Linked DNA regions of Bombyx mori. The protein of the gene in region 2 binds, or shares a complex with, the protein of the main gene of each other region. Links are inferred from orthologs where the notes say so. Each region holds a gene or a part of one and is shown on either strand. Other genes may lie near its edges.

What was found.
Region 1: COP9 signalosome complex subunit 7b (region 2) and COP9 signalosome complex subunit 4 share a complex: the UniProt entries of both Drosophila melanogaster proteins name them as parts of the CSN complex. The link is inferred for Bombyx mori from reciprocal best matches to the Drosophila melanogaster genes CSN7 and CSN4.

Annotation. Positions count from the first base shown.
Region 1 is NC_085109.1:10,720,667-10,723,274, reverse strand, and holds part of COP9 signalosome complex subunit 4, read right to left. Parts: intron 2,450-2,608; coding exon 2,264-2,449; intron 1,234-2,263; coding exon 1,115-1,233; intron 82-1,114; coding exon 1-81. UniProt on the Drosophila melanogaster protein: Component of the COP9 signalosome complex (CSN), a complex involved in various cellular and developmental processes.
Region 2 is NC_085114.1:3,666,798-3,671,305, forward strand, and holds the start of COP9 signalosome complex subunit 7b, read right to left. Parts: upstream 2,958-4,508; 5' UTR 2,566-2,957; coding exon 2,371-2,565; intron 2,235-2,370; coding exon 1,982-2,234; intron 312-1,981; coding exon 91-311; intron 1-90. Other genes in the region: zinc finger protein 615, read left to right, coding at 3,856-3,981, 4,290-4,508. UniProt on the Drosophila melanogaster protein: Component of the COP9 signalosome complex (CSN), a complex involved in various cellular and developmental processes.

The DNA.
Region 1 (2,608 bases), on a different chromosome or scaffold from region 2:
TCTCTAGAATAGAATACGCCGGCAGCTGTTGGCACCGCTCATCTTTGAACAATGTTGCTAGCATTCTGGATCTCTGTTGTCCTGTAACATTTTAGATAAAAGACATTACTTTTTAATACGCTTTTATTAGCTTCAGACGTATGTAGGTATGTTAGTATGTAACGGAATCTTTGAACATGATATTGACCCCCTTGAAAACGTCGGATTAACTCGAAATTTGGTATACTTATTAATTAAGGACCGATGACAATTCGATATTTAAAAAAAAATTGAATTAAATTGTAATTCAACTAAAAAATGAAAAATAAATAATAGTTTAAAAAAACTAAACAAATACGCTTTTATAGAAAAACATTTTACACGCTTTTTTTTACAATAAAATTATTGATATTGATATATAATTATTGATATATAAATTATTGATTATTATTAATAAAACATTTTTTCTTACACTATGTTTAATTCAAATTTCTTAAAATGTATTTTCTATTTTTTTGTTGGATTTTCTATAAAAGCGTGTTTTGTTAGTTTTTTTTAATTATTTAAATATTAAATTTAAAATAAATTTAAATTACTTTGACGAATATTAACTACTCCTACAGCTGCTCCTATTTCTCACTAGTATAGGAAAAGCCTGCGCATAGAAAATCCCACCACTCTACCTTGATCTACCGCGATATAATCACGCGTTCCAGTTAGGGAGAATTTTTGATACATTCCTGCTACGCTGTGAGAGTGTCCTAATGTTATGTGGGCGCTTATTAATGAAAGATTAATGTATTCGAAAACTGTAAAGTATTTTTGAGGTGTTGATTAAATTATCATTCGGTAAATAAAGATAACTCTAACAAAGCACCATAAAATTGTTGACACTGGTATGACTACTTAACAGTAGAAATGGATATTAAAAAGACTAGCATGTCTAATGAAATGAAAAAAAATGCACCATTTTTTATGTAGTGACTTAGACTTAGACTGTAGTGACTTAAATGTTCTGATCTGAAGCTGTGGTCTTATTACAAAAATATTGTGTAATATAATCAATGTGTCAATGTCTTATCGATTTTCTATTTTTGCAGCCCAACAATCTTAGCATTACATTGAAATCAATTACCAGCAGATGCCAACACGGTGCATATAAGGGCATTCCTGAGGCACGTCATCCGCTCGTCCTCGTGGATAATGTTACGATATGACAATTCATTGTACCTTTGAGCCGCTTCGATGAATTTCCTAAAACAAACCAATTTTTATTTCTTTTTGTTTATGTTGCAATGTCGAGAATTGCGAATGTCTCACTTTTTTTTTTCCTACCTAATCTGATAGCCTTGAGAGGCTATTTCAACGTAACCTTAACTAGTAGGTGAGCTGACGGGGCTCAAACCTGACGACGTTGCTAACACGAACCCTAGCAAGAGCAGTGCTTAGCAGAATCTACCACGGTGTCGGAAACGCGACCCACTGAGAAGATCCGGCGAGAAACTCAGTGGGCTGTGTCTGAGGGTTAATTTACTCGTCGAGCCCTTCGTCGCAAGCGACGGGTTCGACGCGTTCCCGCTTGAATGCCTTGAGACACGAAATTAAAGTCTCAGTTGTTAATAACGTTTCACCCTTTCAGCTGGACATAGTTGCATCGCTTCGATGATAGATTTTGCGAATGTAGTGTTCGCTCAGTGACCAGTACCTAAACTACTCCCACAAAATTTTACAATTTCTCTTTTTAGGTTAACCCTCGAAGCTAAGGTGAGCAATGTGGATCTTCACAATGATCTGGGTGTCGAACGCATTGGTAAGTACACCGCGCGCCTTATCCTTTAGATCACGACTTTTTTTATTGCATATTTGAATGGACGAGCTCACAGCCCACCTGGTGTTAAGTGGTTACCGTAGTCCATTAACATCTACAACATAAATGCGCCACCCACCTTGATATATAAGTTCTAAGGTCTGAACTATAGTTACAACGGCTGCCCCGACCTTCAAACCGAAACGCATTACTACTTCACGGCAGAAATAGGCAGGGTGGTGGTACCTACTCGCGCGGACTCACAAGAGGTCCTACCATCAGTAAAAACTTCTTGCAATACCTTCATATTTATGAATTTCTGTATTTAAAATTTATCAGATTGACTATTAAGAACTGTATTGGCATCATTTGAAACACAATAAAAACACGTCACATCTAAAGATTTAGAAGTAATGGCCCTTTTTTTTAAACCTAAATTGTTGCTGACAAAACTATTCAGCGGTATAAAATATATACCTTCTATAATCTAAAACTCTTGCATAGCAAACTTTGTAATATATCTGCAGTTGCTCGTTGGTTGTTTCGGCCTGTAGCAATGAGGCTCTGTTGACGAATGCCTCAGCTTGCACCGGATCGTCCACTTCAAGGTACAGTCTGGCTATCTTTAGGTACGTTTCCAGTTTGTAATCAACTGAATATTGTCTAAAAATGAAATTTTAAATATAATCAAGAGGTCATGTTCTTTTTTTATTTCATGGAAACATTTTCAACAAAAAAAGATATCCACTGTAATTTGTGTTACAAAATCTATAAACGTTTTATGTATAAGCTAGTGCAATTAAATTTTTCATATTGGAGTTG
Region 2 (4,508 bases):
TAGAAGGTCAAACATTGTATTTGATGATGATGTTTTTGTTTTAGGAATTGTTATATAATATACATGCACCTTAGATAATATAACACTCACCTTCTGTTCTATACCCTGCTGATGTCTGATAGCCTTCTGTTTCTGATGATTAGCTCTCTGTATGTGTTGATCTACAGAATTGAGTACTGCTTCACAAGCATTGCACCAGTCGGCCAGGACATCAGCAATGGAAGCTGCATCTTCAAGCCGCGCATCTCTGCCAAGGGCCACGTCCACTTCCACACGTTTACATTCCTGGTCCAACTTGCCGTGAATTATGTCTATGGAAGTATAGTATGTAAATTATTTCCAATTATCGTGCGAGTGGTCTATTGTAACAGTAAAATAGTTCAACATCATGTATGTATATTCAAATCGTCAAGGTATTCTACTCCTAATGAGTTTATACTGTATATCTATATATTGTTATATTGTGCATATTTAAAAAAATATCTTTTAACTAATAAGTACACTGCGGTTAATTTATTTCCTCATGTGATTCTTGTCCACTTCATGGTTATCTGGAATAGAATCCTCTTGACAATAAGACTGCCCATTCTACTTTTGTGTGATGTATGTTTTGTATTTATGTTTATATTGATGTAAAATAAAGAATACACACTATCTGTCTAATGAGGTTTTTATTGAACTTAATTTTATACAAGTAATAATTAAAAGGAATGCATTGTTAATTAGTTGCCATGGTCATAATGAGAAGTGCAAAAATGCTATTTTTAGAAAGTAATTGTTTATTGATGTTTGCTTGCTATATTCACATTCAGATTTATTTGTTTCCCTACAACTACTTACTACCACATGGAATAGATTGATCTCCCCTTCTACGAAGGTAAAAACAAAATAAAATAGTAAAAGAAAAATCAAAATAAATATATGCTTATATGGATAAATAAAAGGATGTTAAACTGTTTTCAGGGCATACAAACTCAAACAGGGAACATAACATTGACTTACTAAGCATAAGTACTTGTAATTATAAGGTAAACCAATAGTTATATTGTAAAACCTCAAATTGTAATTGAATTTTTTATGATAAAACTTTTTTTTTAATTAAGTAATTTTTTTATTGCTTAGATGGGTGGACGAGCTCACAGCCCACCTGGTGTTAAGTGGTTACTGGAGCCCATAGACATCTACAACGTAGACGCCACCCACCTTGAGATACAAGTTCTAAAGTTTCAGTATAGTTAAAACGGCTACCCCACCCTTCAAACCGAAACGCATTACTGCTTCACGGCAGAAATAGGCAGGGCGGTGGTAGATATCCGCGCGCACTCACAAGTGGTCCTACCACCAGTAATTACGCAAATTATAATTTTGCCGGGTTTGATTTTTATTACACTATGTTATTCTTTTACCGTGGAAATCAATCGTGAACATTTGTTGAGTACATATTTCATTAGAAAAATTGGTCCCGCCTGCGAGATTCGAACACCTTTGCATCGCTTCAACATGAATTAACCGGACGTCTTATCCTTTAGGCCACGACGACTTCATACCAACTTTATTCCACTAAGATGCATTAAATTATCTGAAGACATAATAGTAGGGCTCATGGCTCATGTCATTGTAGCATCAGTTTCCTATTTGTATTGGTAGCTAAATTCATTTAAGATTTAATGATTTTTTTTTATATGGACACTTTAGAAGTTATGCTTATTTAGTGTATATGTATTCTTTATCAATGCACATTTTATATATGTGGCTTTAATCTATATAAAACATGAACTAAATAAATTAGATACTACATCAAATTCGGCACTGAATTGTTTTCTCATATACACCACAAGAATAACTCGAAAAAGAAAAAAACAAGGTATAAAATGCATGTAGTCAAACTTGAATTTTAATACTGTTTTATGAATCAACAACTCTGACACTTTTTTTATTAGGGACTGTTTGTATATACACTATAGTAGGAAAATCAACTCACCTGCATAAATAGCTTCAATGATAAGATCTTCTAAATCTCTAACATTTTTAATATCCAATTCCTCAAGTAACACACTGTAAGGGATACATTTCTCTTGTGTTGCAAGTGTTGCAATGGTCAGATGCTGTAATTTCTTGCACTGGACTGTGGTTAATTCTAAATAGTCCGATTTGTTCTCAATGTAGTCCTTATATGTGCCATAGGCAAACAAATTAAGAGTTTTTAAATGAGTTGCATAAGGTCCACTCTCCAGCTGAAAAATACAATAAAATGAATTTTAACAAGAGCGCCAAATTGATTTCTACCCATAGAATTCGGACAGTTTCATACATTTAATGGTTAAAAATGTATTAGAATTAATTGATCGATATAAAGGTAAGTTTTCTAACCTCTTTAATATTTGGCATCTCTAATAGCTCGCCGAAAACATGCACTCCTGGAGCCTCCAGAACCTGTTTGATGAGTTCAGCGCACGCAGAACCTTTAGCTCCCTTTGCTAAAAGGACAAACTGTTCTAGAGGGTGATTGGAGGAAAATGATAACAATGAGGAAGGTTCATCTCGGTCCATTGACATCGGATTCATTTTGAATTTTAAGACGTCTATGTCTATTTCATAAACGGGAAATAGGTCAATTCTATATTGAATCTATATGTTAGGGAAAAAGTATCAAACTCAGATTTAAGGTTTAAACTGTTATATTTATGTACCTACCTAGGTAGGTAGGTATTTTATACTTTCTTTGGTAATTTTAAGTTGACAGTGACAGTTGATGACAGGCTGTTTCTACATTTATATTGCTAGCTGTTGATACTTTAATATTATTATTATTATACATAACGAACGGATGTATTTATTTGTAGGTTTAGTTTACTTCAAATTTGAAATCTATCATAAAATATGTATTCAATTTCCATAAAGAACATGATGGTGGCAGATTATACTTAAATCTATGAAAAGTCAGGTACTTGAGTTCTTGAAGAGCTTGTCTTAATTAGTAATATTGCAAAGAAGTCAGACTATGAGTGCATAAATTTATTACCTATGTATCAAGTAACTAAGATAAATTAAAAAATACCCCAAGAATATTGACATTTCATGTAAAGAATGTGGTGTAATTAAATCACGTAATTTTTGTTAGTTCTAAAGCGTTTAGGATGAAAAATTCAGCCAATTTAAATAGAAATTAATTCAAAAGTAGAACAGTATGCAGAGAAGTACATTTATTCATAATACCAAAAATCTTTTAGTGAAACTACAGCTTTGATTGATTAGTTATAGGGCTTAAAAAATAAACTAATTTCAAGAATTTTATAAAGTTTGTCTTTGACAAAAAAAAAACTAGAAATTTAAAAGTTTATGCTTCAGTTTTCAAATGACCATAAATAATAAAATGGCGTCAGGTTTTTTGTGTGTGCGATAAATTAATTGTTTTCATAAAAATCTGGATTTTCTCCAATTTTTTTTGACATACGAAAGTGTTTTTTATTTTATATGTAATTATGAAGCTTATAAATGCATATATGACTTCTAATAACGTACTATTTATTGTAAATAATGTGCGTGTCAATGTTCGTTGAAGCGTCGTTGTTCTGGGCCGCCTTTTATATTGGGTTGATTAAACTAATTTAGATGTCGTCTAAAGTTAAGATTCATCGTTATTTACACAGAACACCATCACAAGTTGTAAATTAGTGTTGTTTTCGCTTGATATTCGGCGTCGCTGTCAATGAGTGCGTTTTGCGTGTGTGGTTGTGAGGTCGTACATACATGTTCGCAATGATAAAACTGTCATGAGGACTGTTTACTATCAAATAGTGAATCTGTGTTAGTGCGTTTACATTTCTATGTAGTGAAGTTTATATTGTGGTGAAAATGTGTATGCCAACACCGAACAATGTTTCGGGTTTCGGTTATTCTTGGGGCTTTACGAGTTCCGCGGACCTTACCAAGGGCGATGTCGAAACTCCGAGCAGCCTCAGTTATTCGCTTGGGAGTACGGTAAGGTCTAAATAAAATAAATTAAATAACTGAAGCACTTTAGAGTAAACATTTATTGTGCACTTTAATTTCAAAGTGCATCCTCTCAAAGTTTTAACCATAAGCAAGATTGAATGAAATTAACAACAATCAGCTTTCACTTGAAGTAAATTTTCTAGTTATTTTAATATTTAGCAACAAAAAAAAGCTATTATGAAATTGTGTACTTATATGTGCTATTTTGTTTCAAAATAGGTTTCATTTCAGTAAAGACTTAAAATCATTTTATAAATAAAAACAAATAATCAACAATAAATAAAACATTTCAGGTGTCTCCAGAGACAACACTCACTGTTATGTCTCACAAGACACCGCAAGTCCAAGATAAAGTGGGTGCTGTTGCTGTGGCAGTATCCAACTCGGGGGCTCAAGTCACAAGGGTTGTCACAGCAGGAGCTCCGGTGACGGCCAGGAGAGCTATGTTTGTTCTGAATGAAGCTCCAACCCATACTATAAACAGGGTTTCACAACAAAACCAAACAGCGACA